Linked DNA regions of Arabidopsis thaliana. The protein of the gene in region 2 interacts with the protein of the main gene of each other region in a pairwise test. Each region holds a gene or a part of one and is shown on either strand. Other genes may lie near its edges. The genes, in order: AT4G30660, DWF1, AT2G36330 and TET6.

Evidence for each region.
Region 1: the proteins of DWF1 (region 2) and AT4G30660 interact in a protein complementation assay, tested with the Arabidopsis thaliana proteins (one large-scale study listed by BioGRID).
Region 3: the proteins of DWF1 (region 2) and AT2G36330 interact in a protein complementation assay, tested with the Arabidopsis thaliana proteins (one large-scale study listed by BioGRID).
Region 4: the proteins of DWF1 (region 2) and TET6 interact in a protein complementation assay, tested with the Arabidopsis thaliana proteins (one large-scale study listed by BioGRID).

Annotation. Positions count from the first base shown.
Region 1 is NC_003075.7:14,952,311-14,958,905, reverse strand, and holds AT4G30660 (Low temperature and salt responsive protein family), read right to left. Parts: upstream 3,528-6,595; 5' UTR 3,437-3,527; coding exon 3,347-3,436; exon of another isoform or gene 3,097-3,346; coding exon 2,962-3,096; 3' UTR 2,906-2,961; exon of another isoform or gene 2,746-2,905; 3' UTR 2,735-2,745; downstream 1-2,734. Other genes in the region: AT4G30680 (Initiation factor eIF-4 gamma, MA3), read left to right, coding at 1-219; AT4G30670 (Putative membrane lipoprotein), read left to right, coding at 1,001-1,309; AT4G30662 (uncharacterized protein), read left to right, coding at 2,376-2,723; AT4G30650 (Low temperature and salt responsive protein family), read right to left, coding at 4,208-4,339, 4,414-4,503; AT4G30640 (RNI-like superfamily protein), read right to left, coding at 5,224-5,764, 5,872-6,236.
Region 2 is NC_003074.8:6,877,422-6,886,217, reverse strand, and holds DWF1 (cell elongation protein / DWARF1 / DIMINUTO (DIM)), read left to right. Parts: upstream 1-3,902; 5' UTR 3,903-4,006; exon of another isoform or gene 4,007-4,589; 5' UTR 4,590-4,601; coding exon 4,602-5,843; intron 5,844-5,939; coding exon 5,940-6,383; 3' UTR 6,384-6,694; downstream 6,695-8,796. Other genes in the region: AT3G19810 (BTB/POZ domain protein, putative (DUF177)), read left to right, coding at 7,406-7,959, 8,051-8,462; AT3G19800 (E3 ubiquitin-protein ligase, putative (DUF177)), read right to left, coding at 8,747-8,796. UniProt on the Arabidopsis thaliana protein: Plays a critical role in the general process of plant cell elongation. Involved in the synthesis of campesterol, an early precursor of brassinolide.
Region 3 is NC_003071.7:15,229,577-15,237,328, reverse strand, and holds AT2G36330 (Uncharacterized protein family (UPF0497)), read right to left. Parts: upstream 3,830-7,752; 5' UTR 3,710-3,829; coding exon 3,189-3,709; intron 2,793-3,188; coding exon 2,657-2,792; coding exon of another isoform or gene 2,645-2,656; exon of another isoform or gene 2,507-2,644; intron 2,226-2,506; coding exon 2,031-2,225; 3' UTR 1,801-2,030; downstream 1-1,800. Other genes in the region: AT2G36340 (DNA-binding storekeeper protein-related transcriptional regulator), read right to left, coding at 1-331, 419-526, 651-788, 876-1,163, 1,253-1,471; AT2G36325 (GDSL-like Lipase/Acylhydrolase superfamily protein), read right to left, coding at 4,105-4,307, 4,434-4,734, 4,859-5,139, 5,498-5,725, 5,863-5,920; AT2G36320 (A20/AN1-like zinc finger family protein), read right to left, coding at 7,456-7,752.
Region 4 is NC_003074.8:3,849,636-3,857,350, forward strand, and holds TET6 (tetraspanin6), read right to left. Parts: upstream 4,232-7,715; 5' UTR 4,080-4,231; coding exon 3,588-4,079; intron 3,208-3,587; coding exon 2,891-3,207; intron 2,731-2,890; coding exon 2,691-2,730; 3' UTR 2,490-2,690; downstream 1-2,489. Other genes in the region: emb2738 (GTP-binding family protein), read left to right, coding at 313-400, 788-976, 1,076-1,237, 1,495-1,688, 1,779-1,929, 2,033-2,201, 2,281-2,345; AT3G12100 (Cation efflux family protein), read right to left, coding at 5,106-5,207, 5,304-5,393, 5,482-5,632, 5,728-5,766, 5,897-5,966, 6,310-6,398, 6,530-6,606, 6,843-6,882 and 2 more. UniProt on the Arabidopsis thaliana protein: May be involved in the regulation of cell differentiation.

The DNA.
Region 1 (6,595 bases), on a different chromosome or scaffold from region 2:
GGGATCGATCTGCCAAAAGCGCCAAACAACTTTGGGGAGATCCTTGGGAGTTTGGTTATGGCCAAAGCATCGGATTCTGAGTTGGTGAAAGAGATTCTAATGAAAATGGGAGACGAATGGTTCAAGAAAGCAGTCTTGGAAGCTGTGATGAGGAGTGTTAGTGAGTCTCTACTCACTACGGAAGCAGTAGAGGTTGAGGCTTGCCGTGGTTTGGTGTAGTTTGTGTGGTTTCTTTCTTCTCAATACATGTTTTGATCAGTTTAAGACCCCACGCTCGCCGGAAAAAACAGGTGAGATCTTTCTTGTAATCATTTATTGAAAAATGTTAAGAGTTAATATCATACTTGTAATCGAAATTAGATTCAGTTTTATTACTCTGTTTTCTTTTTCTTGGTTTGTGCTTTTTCTTTTGGTGCCTTAGTTCATTATTCATTTGGAAGAGTTCAAGATGAGGAAAAAGAAAAGAATATGTTGAATTGTACTCTTTATAGATAGTCTTGGAATGAAAAGTTTAATTTAAATAATCAAGTAGTTGTCAAATAATCATTATTATTATTATTGTATTTTATCATGTTGGTGGTTTACTTTAATGGGAACAGATGAGCATTTCAAAATAGATATTTAAAAAATATCACACTAATTTATACATTGAAAAATGACATTTAAGGATATTTCCCATTTTTCATACGTAGTCAATCATATAAAATTTGAGATTTTAATACGTTGACAGAGTCATATGATCCTGGATCGTGTCAAAATGTCTCTTGTGTAAGTAAGAAGTTTTCCAAAAGAAAAAACAGTTATGAGCTGTCTTGATGATTATATCACTGCCTAGTTGTTAATTAAGGAAGAGCTCATCTGTTTGGTTGCGTGCACGAAGAAGAGAGTATGGTACAACTACTTTCACACAAATCTATAAATACACAGACACACTCATAAGTTCAAAAAACACAAGATAAATATATTTTCTATTCAATTTTGTTTAAAGAATAAGAAAAAGATGAGAACTTCTTCTCTTCTTGGTTGGTTTTTGATCATCTCCCTCTTGTTACTTTCTCAATCCCTCATAATTTCATGCGGACGCCATACGATCACTCCTTTGGGTCGGGAACTAGTTGAACATGAAGAGAACAAGGAAGGGTCATCCGGTCATCACCACGACCATCTTCGAGTCTTCGTGAGGAAAAGCAAAAGCAAGAGCAAGAAGAAGAAGGACAAATCAGCAGCCACTCGAACCCTTCTCTCTAACCCATTTACCTATGTATCTACTGTTGTGAGTTCCTTTGTTTTATTGCTCGCCGCATTTTAATCCAAGATAACAGGTTGCGACTTTTTTATTTTATTTGTCAAATGGCTTGAATTTGCGTGTTTGTTTGAGTTTGTATTTCCGATCGAGTTTAACGATTTGTTTTCTTTTCCGGCAAAGATTGAGTTTGTAAGTCTTCAATGTTTGAAAAGTTGTCTGATCTGGTTTGTCTAATATTGTGGTTCCAGTTGTTTTGTTTAATGAATAATAACTGATTGTCTAAGACAATTTATCATTGACACACAACTACATGCGACTATTTTTGGAATTTTTTTGTTTGTTTGCTAAATTGTAAATATCATTAATATGAATAATCAGAACTTACACTTTGGTTAAACCTATACAATTGTGTACTTGGCCAAAAAAAAAAAAGAGTAAAAAACAAGAAAACAAACTTATGTGGGAAAATCTCGGGCCAGTTTATCGCAGCCATAAGATTTCAGAAGTGACCCCTTTGATTTTTTTGGCGGTGATAGTGTTCTTAATCTCACGATCAATTATTTTGAAGACTGAGTGGAGAGAGAATGCAGGTATAGTGAACATTGTTCCTTTGTTTATTCTTACCATTAACAACAACCTCTTTAAAACATCTACTACATGAATTCAATCAAATTCAGTTACAATTAGAACTAACTACTAGGCACCATTTCCCTTCGACCACTATTTGCCTTACGTTGGAAATTCACTAAATTCCATTTCACATAAGAAAACGATAAATAATAACATTTGGGTCTGTTACCCATTAGGCTTAATTAATCATGATCCTCCCTTACGTAATTAGATTTTGCCTCTCGGAAACTTTCTTTGTTGCTGGCAAAAGGAAAGTTTCTTTGCTAATAAGTAATAAGTATCCCAATAGTTAAATACAATAATAGTATTAAACATCATTTCAAAGAAGAAGTAGCCCATGTTTAAGCCATGGTCGTTTCGTTACCTAAGCCTAGCGATATTATAAATACTAATTCTTTTGCACACATAATGCGTCCCATCATTGTAAAATTAACACATATTTCTGATTTTTTTCGATCAGATACATGTATATACACACATATTATTTGATAAAACAGAAATGAGGACTTCACTGGCATTTTCTTGTTCATTGATTGTACTCCTATTGTTACTCTCTCAGCCTTTGCCAATTTCATCTGAAAATAAGGAGAGTGAACGAAGACTTGCACAACACGGTGACTCCAATCCGTTGGATCATCATGACTCTCTTCGAGTTTTCATGAGGAAAGCTCGTTTTGGTGGTGTTGGTGGTGGTAGTCGTGGTGGTGGTCGTAGCCACCGTCGTGTCCCCAGTAGTGGTCATGGTGCGGGTGGATCATCCGCTACTAGTCGACCTTGTCTCTCGATGGCATTGCGCTACGGTTCCACGGTCGCGAGCTCAATTCTGTTGATGTTCTTCGCCTTCTAATTAAACTCTTTTTTTTTTTAACCTTTCAATTTAATAATTTAATTTGTGCCTTGCGAAAACACTATGTCAACAACCTGATGCATAAGCACACATAGCAGGAGGGTTCATAAGCTGATAACAGAAGAAACTTTCAATATTGCATATAAATGACACACAAACGTTTTCAAATCTCTGAAAACAACTGCAAAGCAACTTTATTGGTACAAGTCAAAGCAACACAGTTCCAAAGAAACAGAAATCAAGCAGAGTAGATGGGGCGTCTGTATTCATCAAAGTACTCTTCACGGTGCTGAAACACAATCACGTAAATCGCATATATTATCCCCGGGACATAGCCTAAGATCGTCAACACCAGGCATATCAAAAACTCCACCTGCCAAAACAAACCACACATAAAAAAAATTCAACTTTCTTCAAATGATTATCCAAGCTTTCAGGAATCAATGAATCAAACATAAATTGATCCAATCCAGAGAATTTCTGCGATTCATATCATAGATTAAGCACTCCCTTCATTACTCATACCAAATTACATTATAATCAATCCAAAATTACAGTCTCTATAAGAAGTTCCAGGATTCTTCAAAATTGAGGAATTCGAAAGAGAGAGAGAGAGAACTTACAGTGCAGCATCCTTTCCTGAAGCAAACTCCGAGAGGAGGAAGAAGGATCGCGATAATGATCTCGCACAGAATCTCACAGTTGCTCGGCATTTTTTCAGAGAGATGAGATGAGAGAAGAAGAAGCTTTAAGAGTTTTTTTAAAAGACAAAACACTGAAACTTGCTGTCACAGAGTTGAGAGTACCAATGAAGAGAGATCAGTCCACGTTTTATTTTGTTTCCACTACAAAGTCAATGTGCGAGATCTGCACCGTTCATTTATTGATATTTAAATCGTACGGCTTTAGATTACATCTCGTGAATCACAACGAACGATATGGTGCACCCTTATCACATCAGATCACTTTTAGATATTTTAGTCTCTGACTCATCCATGTGACTAAATGGGCCTGGGAAGGCCTGTCTATTTTATTAATCCCGGGACCAGACTGGAATTGGACAGAAACGTTTTGACTCAAACGGTGTCGTATTACTGAGACTTTGATTCCTCAACTCACAATCATTGTCATTATTTGCCAAAGTAACAGAAATCTATCTTTTTTAGCATAATCTATACCATAATATATGTTGGCATCATACAAAATCCTTTCAAACTCAAAAATGCTTCCGCATTTTGCGAAGTTTAAACTCCGGTAAATACAATCTTGGCAAAGAATTTGATACATTAACTCTTAGGAAGGTCCGTAGCCTGACTTTGCAAAAGCCAACAAGTTATACATCAAAAAGATAAGCAATGTATCAATAACGCGACAATGTTCTCAAATCTTCAATACATAAAAATTGCAAAGCAACTTATTATTTGGTACATGATAAGTAAAACAGTTTCAACAACATATTGATCCGTGTAATGGACCAAAACAGATCAAGCTGAGTTAAGTGGAGCTCCAAGTTCGGTAGAGCCTTCACGGTTTTGAAACACGATCACGTATAGTGCATAAATTATCCCTGGGATGTATCCTAAGATTGTCAGCACCAAGCAAATCAAGAACTCTACCTGCAAAAAAACTAAGAGTCAGATTTTCTAAACTAAATCTCAAGATTCATGATTCCAAAATTCCAATAACTTACAGTGCAACAGCCACGTTTGAGACAAACTCCAAGAGGTGGAAGAAGGATCGCGATTAAGATCTCGCAGAAAACTTCCATGTTGCTCGCCATTTTTTCAGAGATGTGAGTGAAGAAGATTCTTGAATGTGATCTGAATTAGTGGAGAAGAAGAGAACACTGAAAGTAGTCGGTAGCACAGAGATCCAATTAAAAGAGCAATCCACGGCTTTTTATTTTTGGCGCTACCAAGTCAACTACGAGATCTGCACCGTTTATTTGTTTGGTATATAAATCGTACGGCTTCAGCTTACATGCCGACATCTCGTAAAATTACCTTACCTTGCCCCCACTCTTTAGATATTTTCATCTCAAGAACACGCAAGGTATGGTGCAACACAACACACCTGATCATTGTGGGATATTATTACTCTGACTCGCCCCCTTATCGTACGGTTAATGGATCACGTGACTAAGTTGGCCTAGAAGGCCTGTCTTCTATTGTTTCCGGGACCGGACTTTGATTAGCCCAATTTTTCTGTTGCTTGCTTAGATGGCAAGCTATCTCAGTACATTTACTTAACCCATTTCCCTCAATGTTTATTTCACTTAACACTATGATTCAGACCTAAAGCAATGAAGAATATTAATAGAACACACCAAAAGTTGGGAATTTAGTGACAAGACAAACTCACAAAGAAAAAGGGTTTCACATTGTTTTAGGAATTCAAACATAGATAAGAACAGAGTAAAAAATGCCATAGAGGAAGCTCTGAGCATAAAAACCGGTCAACAAGTTGATCAAAACGTGCGTCCAACAAAAACCAAACACCATCATTCCTCTCTTGGATTACCAGGTCTTGGAACGCGTAAAACAGCAATCGGAGGATTGAAATCCGGCTTAATGATCTCCGTCAAATTCTTCAAGCCCGACGTATTAGTGTTTATATCACTTCTGGTCAATGATATACATCCGCGTAAGTCCATGTACTCTAGATTCGAACATCCCTTACAAACCGAGTCAAGTCCTCTAGCAGTCAATGTGGAGTATCGAATCTCCAAATGCTTGAGCTGTGTCATGTATTTCCCAATTATTCTAGCCTCTATATTCCCATATCTAGGAAATGTAGCCAGATAGTCTAGTGGCGCGACGATTGTTGGCAGGCTAGGACCTAGCCGGGGCAACAAATTCCGTTTCAGAATCTTTAAATTTTGGCAACTCCTCCCCAATGTTATCAGAGACTCGTGAGTTATGCCATAAGAGTAGCTTATATCAAGTTCTCTAAGATTTGGACAGTTCATAGCTATCTTCTCCATTGACGCATCTGTAACATTTGGGCAGTTCTTTATCCAAAGTACCTCTAGATTAGGGCACCTGCAAATGGAAACCACATGACATTTTATTCATTCTATCAAAACTCTGCGATTAACCTCTATGGACTCAAGCTAAAACTGAGAATTATCACGAAAAGTGATACGTACCTCTCGGCGGCGTAAGATAGAGAGCGTTCTGTACAATGCCTGATCCGAATCTCTGTGAGACCTCCTTCACTCCGATCAACAACAGATCGGAGAAATGAATCGACTTTATCCTCAAACTCGGGAGTCCACCAGTTGATCGACTCAGGGAACGACAGAAACCGAGTTTCGAGGTCGAAGATGGTGTTTAGTGTCGGGTCATAGCATGCGTTCATCCAGTTCTTGCTGACCAGCATCGGTCCAATCCATCTTTGTTCCTGGCTTAGCCGTGAGAAGATGTCAAGAAGACATTCTCGAGTCAACTCAGACCAGTCAGGGTAGAGTCCCGATCCCATCTCCACCTTTCCTTCCCCGCCGTTGACTTCCATAGGATTGAAGAACGCTTCGTCGTTTTGAGTACGAATAGACTTGAAATGTTGAGACTTTTTTTTATCGTCAATGGAATAAATGTAGTCAATGGAAACAAAAATGCTGAGACTTTTTCAGCTTCTATAATCAAGCATGCTCTTTACCTATTACAAAACAGAGCTTTTTTTTATTGGTCATTAGTAACCTTTCCAATTTTGATATCCAGTTTATATTAATGTTCTGTCAGTTTGAAGTTGGAGCAAAACGGTTCTGCTCCTCGACTTTGATTAAGAGAATGAGTAAGAACATCCAACAACAAATGAGATTCCCTAATTACCAAATTGGATTAAAAGGATAATGTAGTCACTTATGACAAGAG
Region 2 (8,796 bases):
ATGGAATCTCTGCATATAGTTGAGGATCGGCCTTGCAATCTTTTTGGAATCACTTTACTGTTTTTCGCTGGATTTATGCTGGGTGTAGTTTCTGTTTTGGCTTATTATGTTTATACCGTTACTCGAAAATAGGTGTCACTTAGATAAAACTATGTAAGTTGAAAATGATGAACCTAATTTTCTGTAATTGAGACATACTGAGTACCTAGCATACAATTTACGCTAGAAAGTTAAAAACCAATGTATTGTTTTGGAAAGATTGTGCGATTTGGCAATGGTCAGGTGAGTCTTCTATACAATGTGGCATAGTCCTGTTCTGCTATTTGCATTTGTTAGTGTCCCATTGTTGATTGACTGACCAAAGCCTTTTATGTAATGGCAGGTTGGTTAATTTTCTCTTCTCGGCCTCAGAGATGGCGTATAACGAGGTCTCAGTTTTGTGTTTACATTCTAGTGCTGTTGTATGCATTTAGAAGAGGGGCGCTTATTGGCGGCAGAAAGTTTTAGGGTCCATTTCACCCAATCTCTTACAACTGTGATCAACGTGTATACCAATGGTTTGTTATAGTACACGAATATTTTATTCAAATAAAGATTTTTTTTCTTTTTCTGAAGGGATTCCATAACACATTGCACGAAGACACCTGATATTAGCAGTCACTAACTTTAGGATTGAGAAAAGTGTTCTCCAAGAATTCTAGGTGGAAGTAGTAATGAGTTTTTCACTTGGCCTTTTTTATTCCTTGGTTTTAGTTTTTTCCATATTGTTAGCTACAACAACTTTAATATTCTGCCATGGATATGCCTTTCTGGAGGAGGAACAAAAAGTTCATGGAGATATCGATGCGCAGAGCCTAAACAAGGTACATTCATCTTCTTTCTGTTTTTTGCAATGTTTTGCTGGTTTCCTGGCTATTAAACTTTGTCTTGCTAGATCATGTTAGGGAGAGGTTAAACTCTTCATAACTCTCAAATATCTAATATCGTTTCTTCCCAATCAACTCCTACTTATTAGCCCATCGCCTATCTAACTCACAATATTTTGCTTGAAAATTCATTGCAATATTTGGTTAGAAATAGTGTTTCACAACCTGTAACGAAGGCAAAGAACGCTGTTTATAGGCTATGATTGCTTCTTTTTTGGTGTATGCGTTTAGCAATTTACAGTATTGTGTAACAGTTTTGTATGCATGCATCGTTTTCCCCATTAGGATCAGTTTAGCAATTTTGTTCGATGTTACTAAGACTGAACTATGGTTAATTTCAGGGAACCAAGACAAAGGCGCAAGAAAGTCTCCTTTCTGGTCGTTTTCTTAATCTATTGTTGAGAAGTGATTTCTTTTCAATATTGATTGTTGAAGTAACCCATTTGAGTTAAGTTTTTGAGTAGGGTAACAATGTATCGTCTAATGAAAAGCCACTGAAAACGAAACGATCTGTCTTTGGAATGATTGATTGGTATTGCTAAAATCATGGATTATATATAATGCTAAACAAGAATGCTACCAACAATTGAACGTGTCCCCGATGTATTAGACTATTAGTTAATTGCACGTTAAGAGTAGATCTACACTTATTATAAGAAGTTAAGTACATGCAATCAAACAGAAGGCACAACAATTTAAAATAAAAACTGGATCGTGGGTGCATTAAACAAAGTGATTTTGTTTTCCATTCTCTTTTAGCAAGAATAGTAATAAAATGGAAGTGGCAGAAAACAAAAATTTGAATAATAAAAAGGGATTAATAAGAAGTGAGAAAAAATGGAGAATTAGTAATAAAATTACAAAAAATGAGGAAGAGAAATCACGTGAAGGAGTTGAGATCACGTCAGGCACATGTGGGGAGTAGGACAGTCCTCGTTTATAGATTTGTTATCTTCAACTCTCCTCTCTTCGGTTTCTCCGTTCTCTTTTGTCTTTTTCTTTCACCTTTTTTTTTTTTTTTAATTTTTTTACTTCAAGAGAAGTGTTTAGTCATAATACGCTTCAATCTTAACAAATCATAATTTATGTGGGTTGTTGTCTCTGGCTTCTTCACACTTTTTTAGGTACTAATGGAATGGACAAAGACGGTTTTTGTTGATGCAGAAATGACGCATGGGTTTATTTGGCGTTGGACCAAAGAGTAATGTCTTTGTATTTGGATATATATATAAACAAATTGGTGTTTCTTGTAATGTAAACATTGGTGTGATTACACGACCTTGTAACGGTTTAAAACTTTGTCAAGCGTCAACCAAATTTTCACTGACGTCAAACTGTCAATGTCAAAAGGTGTGATTCGCCAAATAGACATTTATTTTTCCATACTACAAAAAAATGATTTGTAGCTGTAAATGTGAGTAAGAAATTAGTTGGCATATTTTAAAGAGTAAATATATTTTATGAGAGATTTTGCAAGAGCTGGATATTTTCTCAGACAGGCCATCATCCCTGTAATTTTTTTTTTCTTTCTATGTCAAATAAATAAATAATTACTTTTTGGCGACAAAAAAAACTTTTTGAGCACTTCATTACTTTAAAGTGTAACCATTTTTCTAAATAAATCATGATTTTATTTGCTTTTCTAAATCAACTATTAAAATACTTAGGTGGAAATCAAATAATTGGTTACAGTAACAGAATTATATATTGAGAGCCTTTTTCACCAAATAACGTGATAGTTTGTGTGTTTATTACTGTATTATGTAGGCACTGATAATGATACAAATGATTTCATATATGAATTTTGATGAAAAGCATGGCTATTGGGATTTGGGAAAACATTTCTCATCACAGCCGTAGTTTTTTTTTTTATATAAATAAGAGGCATTTTATATAAAATTTTTTACTACACATTAGTTTCTAAAATACTACATTGTAATCTGAATAAGATGAAAGTGAATGACTAATTCACAATTGTTTTGGCTTAAAAAAAACACTCATTTGAAGATCCCTTAAGAGTTGAGAGAAAGATATAAGGAACTCTCATTAGCATTCATAATGTATAATGTTTTCAAGATATTTTAGGCAGTGCTTTTTTTGCTTCAATCATAACATATCAAAACTAAATGTTAAAGATTGTTGTAATAACTATTATGATAAGAAAAGTTGTAATGAACTTTTTGCCAATAAACAATATATAAGATCGTCGGCTTAGTAACCTCACGAGGATGGAATGTGCTTTAGGTACATCAACAAACATGTAGGAGGACTGTTTCGCTAAAAGCATTTAGAAAACAAAAATCAATACAATCAACCCATAAAATGCATTTAAAAAAAAAACGAATTGGACAATTACATTTCCTTCATTGGGCACATGTCTTCCTGTAATTTATTGTGATTTACATACCAAAAGAAAGATATATTTTTCTATTTAAAAGAAATTTAAACTGCTAAGATTTGTTGCCTTTTTTTATTTATTTGCTTTTACCTATTTATAGCAGTAAACTCTTTTCAGAAAAAATATCCCTACAAAGAATTTGTCCTCATATTCCTTTTATATGCTAACTGCTAAGTAAGAAATTATATTTTGGAAGATATGTCTAATTAAGCTCTAGGTTCGATTTACATATAATTTCTAAATGTTAAAAGAGTTGGTAAAAATATATTAAATACTGATATAAGTAAAAACAATTTATTTTTATTTTCTTACATCAGAATTATAAACTAAAAAATTGCTCATAAATATAACACATGTGATTTATCAACATTACAACTAACATCGAATTTTTAATTGCGATAACAACAAAGAAACTTAGAAATATGAAAAACCACTTATACAAACCCATGAAAAATATACATTATATATTTCTTAATTTCTATATTTTTGCGTTATTATTACCTTTTTTATTTTAAAATTATATAAAAAAATGGGAAATAAAAAATACCTTGTTTTGAGCGAAAAATGCAAGTGAAGCAGGCTGGCTTGAATCACGTTTTATTATAAAGACAAATGCTCTCACACTCTTGGGGACACTTTCACATCTCATCCTCTCACTCTCTCTCTCCTTTGGATTCTTCAGGTACTCTCTCTACCTCTCTTTCTCTCTCTGTCTCAGTCGCTGACTTATCATTTCCTGTCGTTAGATCTCTCAGTACTTGGTTCATAGTTGTTTCATAGCACGCACTAGTGAACTATGTGGGTTTTTTAATTTTAATCATCTCAGTCTTGGAGAATTTCAAACAAAGTTTCAAACTTTGCTCACCAACTTTTATTTATTTATTTTGGTGGTAGAAAACAGACTTTGATGGCTTTGTAGGAATACTAGATGTGTAGATCTAAAGATTATAACCATTTTCTGTGTTCTTGTTCTTTCAGAACATAACTTCATGTCTTTTTGTCTCTCTGTTCACTAGCTCTCTGTTTCCATGGACTCCACACTATCTTCTTCTTACAGATTTATTTCATACACATACACTGATACACATGTGTGTATACGTATGTGTTTATGTGTGCTTATTATACTCTTTTTGGATTCAAGAAACTAATCTTTAGTATTTTTGACATTCTGGTAGATTTATGCTCACTTCTTAGGCCTTGTTGACTTTTACAGTGATGGATTTTGAAACTCTGGTTGATTTGATTTTCTTTTTGGTTTGATGCAGTGAGGAGAGGAAATGTCGGATCTTCAGACACCGCTTGTGAGGCCCAAGAGGAAGAAGACTTGGGTTGATTACTTTGTCAAGTTCAGATGGATCATTGTCATCTTCATCGTCCTTCCATTCTCAGCCACATTCTACTTCCTCATCTACCTCGGGGACATGTGGTCAGAGTCCAAGTCCTTTGAGAAACGTCAGAAGGAACACGACGAGAATGTCAAGAAAGTCATCAAAAGGCTTAAGGGTAGGGATGCTTCCAAGGACGGGCTTGTCTGCACTGCTCGTAAGCCCTGGATCGCTGTTGGAATGAGGAACGTTGACTACAAGAGAGCCCGGCATTTCGAGGTTGACTTGGGGGAGTTCCGTAACATCCTTGAGATCAACAAGGAGAAGATGACTGCTAGAGTGGAGCCTCTTGTTAACATGGGACAGATTTCCCGTGCTACCGTCCCAATGAACCTGTCTCTCGCTGTTGTTGCTGAGCTTGATGACCTTACCGTTGGTGGACTTATCAATGGATATGGTATTGAAGGAAGCTCTCACATCTACGGTTTGTTTGCTGATACCGTTGAGGCTTACGAGATTGTTCTTGCGGGTGGAGAGCTTGTCCGCGCCACAAGGGATAATGAGTATTCTGATCTTTACTACGCAATCCCGTGGTCGCAAGGAACTCTTGGACTCCTTGTAGCTGCTGAGATCAGGCTTATTAAAGTCAAGGAGTACATGAGACTCACTTACATACCAGTCAAGGGTGATCTTCAAGCCTTAGCTCAAGGTTACATTGATTCTTTTGCTCCCAAAGACGGTGACAAGTCGAAAATCCCGGATTTCGTCGAAGGCATGGTTTACAATCCAACGGAAGGAGTGATGATGGTTGGAACATATGCATCTAAAGAAGAGGCAAAGAAGAAAGGGAACAAAATCAACAATGTGGGATGGTGGTTCAAGCCGTGGTTCTACCAGCACGCGCAGACCGCCCTGAAAAAGGGACAGTTTGTTGAGTACATCCCAACTCGTGAATACTACCACAGGCACACAAGGTGCTTGTACTGGGAAGGGAAGCTTATTCTTCCATTTGGTGATCAGTTCTGGTTTAGGTACCTCTTAGGTTGGTTGATGCCTCCAAAGGTCTCTCTTCTTAAGGCCACTCAAGGTGAAGCTATCAGGAACTATTACCATGATATGCATGTTATTCAGGATATGCTTGTTCCTCTTTACAAGGTTGGCGATGCACTCGAATGGGTCCACCGCGAAATGGAGGTAAAACTAAAAGCTCGGTTTCATGATTGATCATCTTCTAGTTAAAGTTTCTTTTGATGTTATTAACAAAATCATGAATTGTTTGTTCTCTTTCAGGTGTATCCAATTTGGCTTTGCCCACACAAACTCTTCAAGCAGCCAATCAAAGGCCAAATCTACCCAGAGCCAGGCTTCGAGTACGAAAACAGACAAGGAGACACAGAAGATGCACAGATGTACACTGATGTTGGAGTCTACTACGCACCTGGCTGTGTCCTAAGAGGTGAAGAGTTTGATGGATCAGAAGCAGTGCGTAGGATGGAGAAATGGCTGATAGAGAACCATGGATTCCAGCCTCAGTACGCGGTGTCTGAGCTCGACGAGAAGAGCTTCTGGAGAATGTTTAATGGTGAATTGTATGAGGAGTGCCGCAAGAAGTATAGAGCTATTGGAACGTTCATGAGTGTTTACTACAAGTCCAAGAAAGGAAGGAAGACTGAGAAAGAAGTTAGAGAAGCCGAACAAGCTCATCTCGAAACTGCTTATGCCGAGGCAGATTAAGTAATAATAAGCCTTGGTTTGATGTAATGGCTCGGGATGATTATTGTTATTCCTAGTAGTGTCTGTTATGTTGTTGTTTCCTAATTTCAGTTTTAGTGTCTTGAAGACTCTTGTTGTTGTTGTTTGCTTCTTGTTGTTGTTTGACTCATTCTGGTTTGAGTGGATTTTAGAGTTTAAAACTTTTGGATTTGCCTATGAAATTGAAGGTTTCCGGTTTTATCGTGTTGCTTGACTGTCACAATGTAAGCATGTTGCTGTAATGAATTAATTGATCTACCAATTTGAGAGATCATTTCAACTTCTCTCTTTATACCACCACCAACTAGGCTTTAGATCATTCACGACGTGAATCTAAAACACTAAAACCCGACTTTGTTAGTTTTATTGGGGTGCGGTTAGGTTTGATATAAACCTGGAAATACCGGTATTTGAACCGAAGTTGACCGGGTGAGACTTTTTAGGATAAACCCAAGCAGCCATTTCCGAGTAAGAAGAGCTCTGTTTCTGAAAGAAGTTTTACAGAGTCGATCGTCTAAAGCGTTGTTGAAGCACTTGTTAGTGGTAAGTAATTTCGATTTATTAATTCTTGTTGTATCTTTTGTATTCGAAGTTACTTGCTTGTTTTTCGATTTCGTCTCCGTCATGATGTTTGCGGCTCTGTTAATTGGAAGTGGAAAGGTCTGTCCTTTATCTACATAAAATGGTGCATAGAAGGTGTTCGACCAAATTCCTAGCTCAAATTCCTTTAGTTACATTAGCTCTGACTGGAATGTAACTGTGAAGTCTCGATACCCAATTCATTCTTTTCAAAAACAATTGAAGATTATTATTTCCCTTCTCAAGATTTTCTGTCTTTTCTCTATTGTTGACACTATATCAGCAAATGTTTCTTGCAGGTGCTCTGTTTCAAGCTGGATAAACCCAATCCTATTGGGATTTGGCTGGATTTTATACCATATTTTAGCATGATTGTTTGATAAACGCTTGATAAATTGCCTCTTGTTGTCACCTTTGCTACGAAAATGTCTCTGGTTTGCTCTTTATCTTGTGTAGCTCCCTTGCCACAGACTAAACAGTCGCGTCCAAGTTTTCTGAAACTCGAAACATGTACCTTAAGTTTATCTTCTCCCGCTGGCTATCCTAATTTTACCACCGGTATTAGGAAGCATATCAGTTACTTGTTCACTGAACCGATCAAGCTTCCTAGGCTAGCAAAGAGTCGGATATTAGTTAGTCAGGAGTCTTTTACAGAGACCAGCACAATAGATATGGATTGGGAAGATCAGGAGGAAATTGAGGATACTGGGTCACCTTGGGAAGGTTCGGTTATGTATAGGAGAAATGCTTCAGTTACACATGTTGAATATTGCACTACCTTAGAGAGGCTTGGGTTGGGAAGGTTGTCAACAGATGTCTCGAAGAAGAGAGCTTCTGCAATGGGACTTAGAGTGACAAAAGATGTCAAGGATTATCCAGATGGCACACCAGTTCAAGTTTCGGTTGATGTCATAAGGAAGAAGAAGAAGCTGAGACTTGATGGAATTGTCAGGACTGTTATCACACTCGGCTGCAACAGGTGCTTTCTTATGAACTCATCGAAGCTTTTTTACTTTATTGTGATTGCATCAACTTTGTTATTTAACGGGTTTTCTCTTATGTGTTTGAAGATGTGGTGAGTCAACAGGTGAGAGCATCTTCTCCAACTTCTCGCTATTACTAACCGAAGAGCCAGTTGAAGAACCCGATGTCATTGATCTAGGATTCACATTCGGTAATGACAAAGAAGAAGGCGAAGATGATGATGATAATGATGATTCATGGATAGATTGGGAGGATAAGCTTCATTTTCCACCTGAGGTGAAAGAAATAGATATCTCAAAGCATATAAGAGACTTGGTGCATTTAGAAATCACCATCACTGCGATATGCGATTCTGCATGTAAAGGAATGTGCTTGAAGTGTGGTGCGAATCTGAATAAGAGGAAATGTGATTGTGGCAGAGAAGAGAAGGATAAAGGATATGGACCTCTCGGAAATCTTAGAGAGCAAATGCAACAAAAAGAGGGACTAAGGAACTAAACTCAACTCAACGATAATTGTATGTATTTTCCTTTTTACATCTTCATCTTGTTGGTGTTACTGTCATAAAACTCAAAATCAGGTACAATAATGTTCAAATGTGAATCTTAAGTAGCTATAACGTTTTCATTATCTCATTCATATGATTTTTATTTAGAATCAATCATTACATATTCTTGTAAATGTGTTTTTTATTTTGTATATATTGGAATATGAACAGTATCAAAATCTTTTTAAGACTTTGAAGTACATTGAACAGAGAGATTCAAAGAATAAAAAGGTTTCTACTTCTTCTTAAGTTCAAGTAGTCTTGACCATCTCTTATCGACAGAAG
Region 3 (7,752 bases), on a different chromosome or scaffold from region 2:
ATCTACCTAAACTTTGAAAAAATGTATCCTCCTTAAATATCTCCTGGAGAACACCCAACTCAACCACATCATCTTCTTCACTCTTGTCTTTCACACCATTTTTACCTAAACCTTGAAACGATATCCCAGAATCAAGTGTGTCCTCCATAACACCTACCTCATCCACACCATCTTCTTCGCTACTCATCTCTTCCTCACCATTATCAATCTCGATACTCACCCGCTCTTGCTCCTCACAAGGCACATCCTTATTCTCTTGCTCCTCACAAGGTACATCCTTATCGCCTTTCTCCTCACAAAGCACATCCGTATTCTCTTGCTCCTCACAATCCTTACTCAAAACAAGAAACCAAGATCAATAAATCATGTTTTGAGGTGGTAATAAGAAGATCGGTAGAAACAGAACAAACACACTCACCATGGTTTGGTCCAATTTCTCTTTCTCACCATTATCAATCTCTATACTCACCCGCTCTTGCTCCACACAAGGCACATCCTCACTCTCTTGCTCCACACAAGGAACATCCTTATTCAAAACAAGAAAACAAGATCATTAATTCATTGCACATCATTAGTAACACAATTTTTTACATCATGTTTTAAGATGGTAACAAGGAGATTGGTAGAAAAAACAGAACTAACACACTCACCTTGGCTTGGTCCAATTTCTCTCTCACACCATTATCAATCTCGATATTCGCTCGCTCTTGCTCCTCACAAGGCACATCCCTATCGTCTTGCTCCTCACAAGGCACATCATTAGTCTCTGGCTCACCAGAAGGAACATCCTTATGCAAATCAAGAAAACAAGATCATTAATTCATTGCACATTAGTAGTCTAAGAGATTGTTGAAAAACAGAACAAAGACACTCACCTTAGCTTGGTCTATATTCTCATTAGAAACATACTCTGATTCATTCTTGTCCCATATGATCAATGACAATTTGAAGATTTCATCATCATCAGTATTAGTAAAAGAAAGTTGTTCCCCATGGTTAGATCTCCCCTGATTGTATGTAAACTTTCTCTTCATGTTCTTGACCTTATTGATGAGCTGAATCTTCGAAAACTTTGCTTCTACACAATCTTTGATATAACGGTACAAGGCATCCCAGTCAGATCTATAGCTCAATTTCGTTTCATTCTCATAGTCCACAATACCCTTTTACACACACACACAAAATAGAGTAAAAAAAGTTAGAAGAGGATAAAGAAGAATATAGAGAAGCTGCAAAGAATTTACTAACTAACCCCGAGAATGACAAGCTCATCGTTTTTAGACCAGTTCATCTTTGAAGCAGAGGAAGACAAGCTCAATGGTGTTGTCCTCGTCGTTGTTGTCCTCGTCGTTGTTGTCCTTAGTTGCTTTCTCCTACTGAGCATCGCCTCAACTTCAACCTCACGGTTCCTCGTGAGTGTGTCATCCGAGTTGGTGTCGATGGAATCAGCAACTCTCTTCGTACCAACCATTGATCGGTGATGAAAGATCAAAACTTTGTCAAGTTATATAAAACTCTCAGAAAGCTCAAAACCCTATTGTCAAACAGAGTCTCTCGAGTCTCTCTATTTAAAAACCCAGAGACGATACGAAGCAAAAGCACGATCAATCCTTTGGCGGCTATTGATATTCTCCAGGCGTAGGAACTAGGAAGTCCGAGTGTCGAAAACGTAAATGACTAAAATACCCTTTTCCATTTTTAAACATTGGGCTTGTGCAAGATGGTTTCTTCTTCCTTCTTCAGGGTTCAAGATGCACAATGGATAAGTCTGAGGTCTCATTTACAATCGAGGACACTCATATGGCTCAAGAGCTGAAAAGTTGTTGCCTTTTGCTCTGTCAGAGTCTTTATTTAGTTGGCTATAAAGACCCTTTTGACAACAGGATATGCCTCTCTTATTAACCTCATAGTTTTTGGAAACCTTTATATAGGCTACAAAAATAGTATAATAATTACAATGCTAAGATATATTGATCATTTTTATTATACATCACACAAGGAGTGTGGACCTATACAAAAAGGTGGGAGGATCAGAGAGAGCCTTGGTTAAATAGGTTATAGCCTGAAATGAGGGAACTGAAAGCAAAGGCAAGGAAGGCCAGGAAGGACATAGCAATCGAGGCACTTGCCATCTCTGTGAACTCGTCTTTTCCCCAGTTTGAAACCCAATCATCAACGCGAGTGACTGCTGCTGTTGAGGCAGACATAAGCAGATATGCAAGTACCTGATTGCACAAACAAAACAAACCTTTCTTATTCATAATTCCATCTGTTTTTACACATGCTTTTGAAATGTTTTGCAGGGGACGAAAGAGATTTCAATTATGTAATGAAGGGAGTAGTTTGGTCAAACAAGTATAACAGTCACTTTCACCATGTTTTCCGACCTATAAGATAAATCCCTTTCCACATATGCTATAAGCTAAAGCATAAAGAAAAAGAGTAACAATATTGGACTTTAACCACAAAGTGTTGTTCTTTGATTCACAGGAGACAGGGTAAATACCAGCAGATGGTGCAAGTCAAAGTATCAGGAATTATCTATAGCCAAGTTTTTCTCATCACCTAGATGCAACCACGTAGATCATACTTCATACAAGAACGAAAGTAACAAAGGAATACCATCGAGAGTACAGCATAAGTGTTAATGACTTGCCTGATCTATAATGAACTCAAACAGAGGTCGAAGGTGGTGGCTGATCAAATGCTTCTCTTTGACAAGATGGTACGCTAAGTCACATGCTTGAAAACTAGAATATACAAAAGCAACCACGTTCACAGACAGGCAAAACCTGTCACAGATATCAGAAGATGACACATAGATAAATCAGTTTAGTCTCAAAATCAAAAATCAAATCATACTAAACTGACTTCAAATGTTTGACCAAAACAACAAAATGGAAACTGCAAATGAATTCTTACGATCCAACAAATCAAAATCAATGTCAAAAGGAACAAACTTTACTTCTTTTAAGGACTTCACCAAGTTCAACCAAAACATAGACTTGGACCACGCAAGTGTTAAAGACAATTCACATGTACTAAAACTAAAGTAATCCAAATTTCTTATCAAAAAACCAACACTAGTGATACTGATAAAACCCTAAACCCTAAAATAAACCCTGAACCTAAATTCAAGAAACATCACTATCTGCGAAGAAATAAGCACAAACACAACAAATAATTACCTGTACTCCTTGTAACGATCGAAAGAATCACCACTCCAACCTTTAGTTTTATCAGCAGCCATAATTGAGAAAGATATCAAAGCCAACACAACCTCACTCAACCGAAACCCTAAAGCTGAAAACTTTACCACCTCTTCTCTCCTAGACCTTCTCAAAATAGCCGAAACAGCTCCAGATCGTTGGCCACTACTTCTCCCAGAACCAACTCTCGCACTCTTTCTCGTCGGAACCACTTCTTTCACAGAGCGATTGTGATTATGAACCACCACAATCGGAGATGGAGTTTCCTCAACCTTTCCAGGATTCTTGTTTCTTCTACTCTCGGGTTTACTTTTCGCATCTTCCTTCTCCGATTCACTGGAATGATCAAGAGAATGTGGCGGCGATGGAGAAGAAGAGAAGTGAGTAGTGGAGTTATCGAAAGCTACTATAGCCATTGAAGTATCTGACGGAGGTGGAGATTTCTCCGTGGAAACTGAAGAAGGTGACATCGACGGCATCGTCTTTGCTGGAGATCTCATCGGAAATATCAAACCTTTGTAACGAAATTTAAGGAATTTGACAACGCAAAATCGAATTTAGGAATAAGCGTTGAATTGAAGCGACAAAGAACAAAAGTGAAGTCTTTGATGAGAATCAAACACAGAAAGAAGACTTTGCAAGATTCTTTGTCTACTTCTCCCTGTATTCTTGGTTCTTTCGTATAATGCCCCACTATTTTAGTTTTGACAATTCGCACCTAAAACTTTGATTTGTTCTTTGTGGCCCTTGGTTTTGACTCTAGACTAGAGTCTCTAGCTAATAATTATTATTTAAGTGGGTATTGAAATAATCTTTGTATGCATTGTTATGAAGACAATTGATAATCATCATATATCATTAGAATGGAGAATTATTGCATATTGATCTAGTTGATTTAAAACTGTGAATCAGGAAGAAGAAGAGAAAAAACAGAACGCCATCCTTGATCACTGATATGAACATTGTCCCAAAAGAAGAATGATTTTGGATCATCGCAAAGAGTGTACAACTTTTTACCACTCAAGCTTCTATCTCCACAAAAGGTACCTCGTTTTGTTGCACAACATGCCTTAAACGGATCCGGAAATGTCGAAACTCCTGCCCAAATTTAAACATTTATATTATATATCCCATCTATTTAGGTATATGTATTTCTGTTTAATCTATCAAAGACGTGATCGGTTATGTTTGGTCATATACAGTGTTGGTATATATCTTACGTACCTGAAACTCCTTTGTTCTTGAATATGGTCACAAAGGCATTGTAGAGATCTAACGTCATGAAACTTTTATCATTATTGTTAATCTCCTTATCGTTTAGTTTTATCAGTCCTTTGCGGAGAAGACTGTTGTGGAGGTACGTCGAGGTGTCGTTGGTGTCGCAGCCTTTAGGAGTGACAAGCTTCGGCAAACATTTCTGCGGTGGTGATAAAGCCACTAACACCTTTCTTACTCCTAAATCCTTAATTCGCTTCACATCCAACAAAATCTGTTTCACTACTTTCCTTGTGAGTGCTGAACGACCCTGCCAGATTTTATATTTTCAAAAGAAATCGAAAATGTTAACTTATATAATATATGGATCAAAAATGGTCAACCAGTAATCAATTTTGATCAACCCTAGTGGGAAAAGAAAAGGTATATTGTACCTCTTCAGAACCATTACGTCTGTCGTAAGTAAGGTAGTCATTGCCGATGATGCTAAAGAAAGCGACGGAAGAGTTGAGATCGGCCGGTGAATAAACGTTTCTCATGAGGAGTTGTTCAAAGGAATCAATCTGCACACTAGCGGTAGGAACTAATTTGAACATTGTCTCAAACGCGCCGGCTCCACCATATGCGAAATTCATTCCTCTTTTCACAGCTAGTCTCGGTCGTCCGTATTTCCCCCATTTGTATGTGATCGGCGTTCTAACTCCAATATACTTCGCTACATGTTACAATATAAGTCAAACTATAAGATTTATTGCATAATATATGTTTTCTATATATAGGGTATAATTACTGTTGGCAACCGATTTACGTTAAACTAGAGATATCTTGCATTTTGAGAGAGTGAAAACGTTAAACTAAATACTTATATGGTCAACATTTAAAACAAATTATAATGAACAAAATTTATTGACTTGCGTTTCATTATATAAGAGATGCAATGCAAATGTACAGCTAAGACATATCTAATCTAAGAGTTTTTCACTGAGCTTTGCAATCTGTTTACAATATTATAAATCTTACAGACTCAGATATTGTGACAGATTACCAAACAAAACATTATAGTTCAAACGTACCGAGATAATCAGTGGAAACACGACCATCACTAAACCGCCCGGTAGGTATTCCCGGGAAAGTGATTCCATTGGGAAACCTCCACGAGGGAACGATCAGGAAAGGTGTGTTTCCAGTGTCTGCATACGAGTCTCCGAACACAAACAACTTTGTAGGTTTGAAACCAAAAAAGCCATCTTCTTGTGTTTGCTCGCTAGATGGAGAAATTGAGCTGTTTACCTTTATGTAGTCTAGCACGTATATCAAAAGGAAAAAGAAATTAATCGATGAAACTGATTTAATACAAATTAATTGCTGTAATTTGATATACGATACATACATTAAACAGATCAAGAAGAAGAAAATGAAAGTTATAGACTAATAATACCTGATAGAAGAATCAGACACGAGAAAAGAAACCAAGGAGTGAGTTTAGTAATGTTCATGATGGTTGAAATTGTTGTCTTTTTTTTTTTTGCATGGAAAATATATAGGTGAGGTTTAAGGTGTGTGTCTCTTAAATTTTAATTATGGCGAACGGTTAATAATTTAGCGGTTTCCATTGAATTAATTAATTGAGTTTGTTTCTTTAATTAATTAATACTCCTATTTCGTTTCTCTGGCTTCATGTTTTAGATATTTTTCCTTCTTTTACATTTTTTTAATAATTTCTTAGCAGTTTAATTTTGTTGAAGATTTCTTTTCTATATATACACAAATCTTTAACATTGGTAAATGAAATATATGCAATATGATCTAGATATTTATATTATTTTTAAAACATTTGTTCATAATTTCTAATTTTCTTTCACCTTAATATGAACAAAAAAGGTTTATTTATTTGACCAGAAAAAGAAAACATTGTTGTCAAAAAAAAAAATTGAACTCTACTACTCTAGTTCATATTTGGTTTGACTCTTCTTCATCCAATAATGGTCATATAAAATATGAAAGATATGTTTTGATAAGATTAATATGAAATTTATTTGAAGTATTTTCTTGTTTTGGAAATTATACAAAAATTCTAAATATCACCTAATACACACAGAAATATATTATTACATTTGACCACGGAAATAAAACAAACACTAGTTTTTTGTTGGTTTGAGTCTTCATCATCAAGTGGTCATATAAAGATAAATATATTTTCGACGTTTTATATTACTTTTGATTATTGTGAAAACTTCTAAATTTCATAATGTCAACAGAAAGAGAATAATTATTTGAAGAGAAAAATAGTAGTTCATTTGTATTCATTGATAGATCATAAATGTATGAAAGACATTTCAAATAATTTTCAAGTGAGCTGAAAGATGTTTGATGGAACCTCCTTTTCTTTCACATACCAAAAGACAAATCAAGTTGATGATCGCTTAGCGAAACATGGCCACACATTCGAAGCTATTGTATCCTCGTCTTTACCAAAATGAATCCGGCCTTATATTATGCCTAAAAAGCTTACAAACATTTGACCATAAAGCATTAAGAACAAACAACCTTAGCTAAATGCTTTAGAGATGATTAGGTAAACTGATTCAGATAAAAGTCTAAATCAACTGACCTAAAACTTATATTCCATTTTCCTCACAAATCTAAGAATTAAAATCAGCAAACAAACGTCAATAAGGACATGAGCTTCATTTTCTTCAATGATCTAACGTTTTGAAATGATCAAAACGTCTTTGTACTGTTTCTGTCGGTATAAAACATTATCCAAAACGCGAGACACAATTTCATATATTTTCTTTTCTTTTTCCCAAAGAGAAACCCTTTTTTTTTTTACAAGCAAAAGCCACACAATCATAAAAACTTTAATTTCTTCGGAAATAAACAAAGAAAATAATTAAAAAGTTACGAAACCATCTCAACCTTAATCTTGCGACACGTGTCCGTAATACAATAACATAATGAACGGCTGAGATCCACCGAGACAATCGAAATTTTCTCAGGGTAAAGATAGAAATCGGTCAACGGCTCCGATTCATATTTTCTGAAGCTTCGCCGCAATAACCAACGGATTAGCTTTCGCGATCTCTTCACGTCCCGCCGATTTGAAATCAAACGTACAACCATGAACCTCCGGATACCTATGACTCCCACAAAAAGTCGTCCCACACCGACACATAAACCCGGTTAACCCGACCCGTTTCCTACATACGGTGCATCGATTCGGCCGTTGCGGCGGAGACGGTTGCTCCGTCGGAATTTGAATCGGTTTTTTCTCCTCTGTCTTCTTCGTCGTCGGGATCTCTAACTCCGCCGCGTAGTTTTCGAGAAC
Region 4 (7,715 bases), 3.0 Mb from region 2:
TACTCTCTTATTCAACACAGTCTTGTCCTAATTTATGAATCTAGTTCTGTTATTTTGATGAGTTTATGGACCTGGCGAAATTTGTAAGCATCAGAATGACTTTTTCCCATTATAGTGTCTATTTTGATGTTCACCTTTCTTTTTGAATGCGAGTGAGTAGTTTATCCAACAAATTTATGAGATTTTGCTGGAGGTTGGTAGCTGTGGTTTAGCCGGAGAGAAAATGATTTACATGCAATGCTAAACATTTTAGTTACTTTGCTTCTGTGCATTTGTTTTGTGTTTTCATTGATTTCATGGTGGAATTTCCAGGTTCACACCTATCCCTATCTCTGCATTGTCGGGAACTGGAACAGGAGAGCTGCTTGATCTTGTTTGTTCTGGCCTAATTAAACTCGAGGTTTGTAATGGCCTTTCTTTCTTTCAGAAACAAATTTGTGCAGGAATATGAGATATTGGCAAATAGTCCTTTATGAAGAGAGTTCTGTATCGAAGTATAGTGTTTCTGGAAAAAAAATTCAAGGTCTGAATCTACATTATATACACCCTCAAAATTTCATCTCTTAATTATCAAATACCTTAAGGCATTTTTGAATATGTTCAATTGGCACCCATTGTTTATTCAGCTGCAATAACTGGCCATAGCCTTGACATGTACGTCTCCTTCAAATAATTATTGTTGATGAGTAGCATTGACAACTATGTTCAATAGGCATCACTTTACAAACCAAATATTAAAACATTTTCTTACATCTGTTGCACCCATACGATTCAATGACTTTTCTAGATCATGGAGAACATTGAAGAGGAGGAAGAAGAAAACTACATTCCTGCCATTGCAATTATTGGTCGGCCAAATGTTGGCAAAAGTAGCATTTTAAATGCACTTGTCCGAGAGGATAGAACAATTGTTAGCCCTGTTAGTGGCACTACCCGTGATGCTATAGATGCAGAATTTACCGGACCAGATGGGGAGGTTCGTTCAGTTTTGTCTGTTGTGTTTTTTGTGGCCTAGTTTTCTTTCGGTGAATACCTGTTCATTTAACCCTGAATATGATCATGAACTGTGTTGCAGAAGTTTCGGCTTATAGATACAGCTGGGATCAGGAAAAAGTCATCTGTGGCTTCATCAGGCAGCACTACAGAGGCCATGTCAGTGAATCGTGCATTTCGAGCAATTCGTCGTTCTGATGTTGTTGCCCTTGTCATTGAAGCTATGGCATGCATAACAGAGCAGGTATCTCACTAGTAACTGACACTGATGACTGTTTCTCATTAGCAATTGTAGAGCATGCAGACTGTTTTGGTATAGACAGAGTTGAACCATACAGTATAATTATTTCCCTGTCCAACAACAAACAATTTTACTGACATAGTTTTAGAATGTCACAAAGGATTTGATAACACAAAAGTACCTTGCTATTGTAACAAAGGAAAAATGATGAACTTTCTTATCATGTGAAATTTTTCTAATGGTATGTATTGGAAACACAGGATCTGAAGATTGCAGAAAGAATAGAAAGAGAAGGGAAAGGATGTCTGGTTGTTGTAAACAAATGGGATACAATACCGAACAAAAACCAAGAGACTGCAGCACATTACGAGGACGATGTTCGGGAGAAGCTCCGTTCCCTCAAATGGGCACCTATTGTTTATTCAACCGCAATAACTGGCCATAGCGTTGACAAGTGAGTCTCCTTCAAATGATTCAAAAACTATTTTCAACCTTACAGTCCGGTTTTACTTAGTCTGTTTGATAATATATAATTCAAATGTAGTATTGTGGTTGCTGCTGCTACGGTTCAAAAGGAGAGATCAAGAAGACTTAGTACGGCTATATTGAACCAAGTGATAAGAGAAGCAGTTGCATTTAAATCCCCTCCAAGGACCCGTGGAGGCAAGCGAGGTCGCGTTTACTATTGCACCCAGGTAATAAAAACATCTCCCAATGTTTTCTAGTAGCAGTAAAGGAAAATGCATTAGAGGCTTTTCGGGTTTGTTTGTCTGTATATAAAATGGTTGTATAATGCAGGCAGCAATAAGGCCACCGACGTTTGTTTTCTTTGTAAACGACGCAAAGCTGTTTTCGGATACGTACAGAAGGTATATGGAGAAACAGCTACGCACTGATGCAGGCTTTGCTGGGACTCCAATTCGGCTTCTTTGGCGTAGCCGTAAAAGATCTGACAAAAATGGAGGAGGTACGAGTTTTTTGCATGAAGTTGTAATTCTTTTTGAAAATAGTGACAGTATCTGTATAACTTTTGGAAAATTCTGCAGGTGGAGGAACAATGAGAATGGCAGGCCTTACACGTCAGAGAAATCTTGCAACCAAAAGAACATAATAACCGACGATGTAATTTTGTTGTATTGAAAAATAATTACTATCAATATATATATACAATTCAATCCTAGCTAGTCTCCATTGCAACCTACTCTGTTTGTTTTTCGTTTTGAGCTTTGAAGTGAAATTGCAGGAATAGTAAACTCTAATAAGTCTTCCATAGAGTATATTTCACAAGTGAGACGAAAAATATATGCATATACTCATGCACTCGTAGCAAATCTTACTAATCTCTTGATGATTTATAGGAACAGGACTACATCAACATTTTTAAACTATCTTTGTGTTTTCTTAATCTAAGTTTGCTAAAAAGAAAATGATTAAGAACAAAAAAACGATGCGGCTTTTAGTAAAGCTGCTCTTTCTTTTCGTGCCACCATCTCCACCTGTAATAAGAACATGCTTTTGTCAAAAAATAAAAAAATCCAAGATCTCAATTCGGATCAAGTATAATTTTGAAACAAAACTTTCATTTTACGATCATGCATTTGGTAAGTGATATATATATATATATATAGAGAGAGAGAGAGAGAGAGATAAGGTTACCAGTAATAGTCCCAACGAGGACGGACTCTGGTCATGCGGTTATCATCAGATGGATGGTAAGGATGAGCTGCGTGGCGAGTGTTGTGGAAGGCGCAGCAACCAGCGGCGTAGACCGCGATGAGGAGGACGAGGACGAGAATGTTGACAACCGATAACTTTCTCCAGTCGAGACGGATCTCTTCGAGAACACCAGCCTTGCAAGCATCGCACTCGTAGCATAACATCTCCACTCCATTGTTCCATCTGAAGCAATCTCCTCCTCCGTCCACTACTCCAGCTTCGTACGTACACGCCGTCGGTGGCTTACAACATCCCGACTGCATTGTCTTTTATTAGTCACGTCTTAACTCTTAACAAGCCTTTTCTTCCCCAATAATACTATATTTTTGTCTAAATGCAAACGCCAAACACAAACTAAGTAAAAAGAGAAAACTATATGTTTACAGCAAAAAACTGGTAAGGTCACACTATCATTTTGTTTGCAAGTAAGAATACAAATACGATTCAACAAAACACACACGGAAAGAAAAAATTCGTTTGCCTTTTTCATTTCTAGTCACATGCTTGCTTTACACGCGATTAGAAACGAAGAAACAAATAAAATCAAAGGCTTAAATTATCATATGATAAGATATATATTAGATTACTATAGCAATTTGTTAAGCAAGCATGAATCATGTCATAAAGTAGATTGTACCTGAACAGAAGTCATGTCTCTTTGGAAATAATCAAGTGTAGTCCAAGACTCAATCTTAGTACAAGTCTTGGAACTCAAGATACAGCTTCTAATGGAGTTCCAATACTCAGGATCCCTAACTCTCTCTCTCAACCATGGATGATAGTCTCCAAGCCTATACTCTTTATAAATCCTCCCTGGCACTTCCACTCCACCTCCTTGGCTCGTCACCACCAGACCAAATAGCGTTAGACCCATTAGGGTAGCGATGAGGAAGATCATGACCACTAAGTACACCCAAAGAGCCCATGCCACGTTGAAGCAGGCTCCTATGAATCCCGCAAGGGAAACTATGAGTATGATGAATCCTATAACAAGTAGCGGCGTCTGGAGGAAGTTTTCACATGTCGTGCTGCTTCTTGCCTTGTATAAAGCGGTTCCGATGATTGGAATCGAGGCTAGTAAGGTGAGAAGGTTTAAGACCCCAATAACTGTGTTGCTGAATCTGTACATAGTAGTAATGTTATCAAGAAGAAATCAGAGACTTAACACTGCCTTCTTTCTTTTGTAAGCAGATTCTCTTCTTGCAATGTGAATTTCATCAGCTTTATCTTACAATCTTCTTTTTCTAGATATAATATTGGTTAACTCTACTTTTGGCTTTTGATTCTCTCTTATCAATTGGGAATTTTTTAAGGGGAAAGGTTAAGAGTTAATGGTTTGATGATTCATGATCATATTCTTTTGGTCCTCTCTCTCTTGAGTTGAATCAATTAAACAATAACATTAAAACCGTATAATTTTCAAATAAAAGTGTCTTTTTGAACAATTGTTTCTTGTTTATTATTCTATATTATACGTTTTTGTCGTTGGAGTTGGTACAGAGCAGACCACAACCAAGAGAAATCAAGTAGTGCCTTCATTAAAATATGTTCTTAAGACATTACACCATAAAGAATACAACTTTTTCTAGCTTTTAGTCCAAAAACTGCAATCATGGTTTATATAATGGATGATCACAAGTGGAATAAAATAAATGTGCTATGTTCAATGAAGCATAGGAGTAAGCAAAGAATAATATATAGACATGGACGGGAGATGATTTCGTAATCGATGAATTTTCTTTCTAAGATGCTTTTAGTGGCCCATTCCTCGGAATATTAGGTTTTTAAGATATAGCTTGATGTGATCTCCGATTCCCCCACTTCCTTTTTTATCGTATAAATAAACGAGAAGGAATGCTAAAATCTTGTCTCAGCTCATATTGAATTTTTGTGTGTTTACTTTCACATTTAGCAAATGATATATGTTTTAATTCGCCAATCATTATGAGCCAAAATATCCACAAGCTTGAAGATACAAAGGTTTGTGGTCTTTGTGTGGTTGAAAATTCACATAAATGAAAAACAAACAAAACAATATCACAAAGTCACAACTTGAAAATTCACAATATTTATATTCCTAAAGAACCATGATCTCTAGTATACATCCAAAAATCTTCAAATCAGCATTTAAAAACAAAGAAGAGGCAGATGCAGCTTAGGTGTAATCAGTTTGCAGGGTCAAGTCTTGTACACCCAAATCATGGTATACATCATATACATATTGCAGTAATGGTCTTTCATCTATTCCGCTCTTCACCTAACGCCGATAAACAAAATAACAAACCCAGTCATTTCCATTTCTAGTGTGAGCTCATGTTTTAACCGATATAAAAAAAAGGAGAAAAGTGAGTACCTGGAGTCTGAGTGAGCCAACAGTGTGACCAGGCACAACCTCCCAGAAACGTGCCTGTAAAACCTCCGTTACATCTTCTCGAGAAGTAATCTGTACAGAGAGAGAGAGCTGAAGAGAAGCCTGGTTTGATCAACAATGGGAAATATGTACACATTCGAGGAACGATTTATGAGCGAACCTGTCGCAAGCATTTGCTTAAAGCAGAAGAAGGAATGTTTGGGGGTGCCATCTGAAGCAAGACACCACCAGTGGCTTTGAAGAGTGGCATAACAAGCATAAACACTGTGACCGATACCAATCCTAAACATAGGACCTCTGCATTTTCAACCCTGAAAAAGCCAAGGCATAAGGAGCAAAAGGAAAATGTAGTCAAGCAAGAAGACACTTTTATTCATTTAGCTCCTTCAAAGAAAGCGAGTATTACCCGAGCGAGAGGAGCCAAGATGCCAGTATCAAACCTGCACTGAAAAGACAGCAGCAAAGAAAACTTCATGTTGACTGTATATAAGTTTGATGCAAAAGGAAGCATTTTCTTTTCTATATAGCTTTCTCCGATTCTGCTTGAAATTTATAAAGGCAGAGAGGATTAACACCTGCGGATGGAATCTGATATGACGTGCAAGCAAACGGAGTGATAATTCATATCTTCTGCTTTTCTGTAGGCTGCAGCATATTGCATATTATGAATATAAGAAAAAAATTCAAGATAACATGTGGTTTTTAGATATGTAAAGAAGGGACAGATAATTTCAAGAAGCAACGAATAGTCGTTTGACAGATCAGTTACAATTATGCTGACTCTCTCTTTCAACTAATCTTCGTACTGATTCTATCTTAACCAAACACCCTTACTTCTTTGGCTTTAAAGCGAAAACTGACAAGGGTGGCCAATTTCTACAAATGAATACCAAAGCCACCAACAAAGGCTATATCAAAATATAAAGCAGCGTATGAGCATCAATTCATACAAGTCTAAACAGAACTTAAAATGCAGAGAAAAACATACCAATATTGACACGAGCATAATTCCGGAAAAACCAAACACCTAGTAGGTTCACCAGCAGATTTGTTACCGCTGATACAATCAAATAATGCCTACATAAAGGAAATCTCAGTAAATCACACTACTGAAAGGAACAAGAGGGAACAAGTACTGTAAACTTAGTAAGTGCTAGAGATATATATAGAAACTCCTAGGCATGTCATTTGTGAAAATATCAACTTACTTATGCTCTGATTCATCTTGTATAAATGCATGAAGAGCTTCCACAGCTAAGGAGAATGACATGAACATAAGGAACAGCTGTCTACACATATGTCAAATATTAAACAAATCAAAGTATTAACCAAAAAGATAAACTACAGAGACAATGAAAGGCAAAACGAAAAGATAGATTGTATGGAAGTCCAAATCTTTTTAACGAGCTGTAAAATACTCTATTCTATCAGCAACAGTAAAGGAAAGAGTTTTAACACTGAGTCAAGCCATCTACACTAAAGCTGGAAATGACATCCAAAACACGTTAAGAACATACTTACAGCATTAGTGAAAGCAGATAAAACTTCAAGTCTTTTGTACCTGGGAACCCAAAAAAAAGAGAAGACAAGGATGCCTAAATTACAACCACTTGAGCATAATCACATTACAGTCTCGGGAGAAAAATAGATCATAAAATGGATTAACCAACTGAGCCAATCAAATTACTTGTAACTCACCCGTATGAGTAAGCATGATCAGGCTTCTTCCTTGAAGTTGCCATTGCAAATAAAGAAAATGTCAAGAGACCACAACCAAATGTCAAATGGAATGCATCAGAGACCAAACCTGTAAGAGTCCACAAAACAATTCAAAGAAAGAATATCAACAATTCAGAGATTCAATCCTAAAACAAAAAGAGAACTGAAACCAAATCGTACCTACACGACCAGTGAAGATACCAATAGAGAGCTCTGTTGTAGAATACAACACATTAAGCGCAATTAGCAGAAACAGTCTCTTCATCTGCCGATTTCCACTTGTCACTACTCCAAAAACCTCCCAAACCATTTCCAAAACAGACACTTTTGCCATGTCTACATCTTTCCCTTCCCCGAAAAACACATCACTTCCATCAACGGAGTAAATATCCGGCGGCATATCGATGCTCGAGACCGTCCTATCGAGAAAAGGCTTAGCCGCTTCCGTGACCGCCGGCGTTCGTGGACCGTGAGATTGCTGAAACGAGCGAGAATAAGCAAGCCTCCGATCATTAGCAGCATATCCGACATCGCTGCTCCGATCATCAGGGAGCTCGTTATCGCCTCGAGGATTAAAGGAAATGGATCTCTCCATTTTCTTCTTTGATCTTAAAGTTCCAACTTCGGCAAATACTAAAATCAACAGTCAGTCGTACAAAGAAACTCTGCTTATAC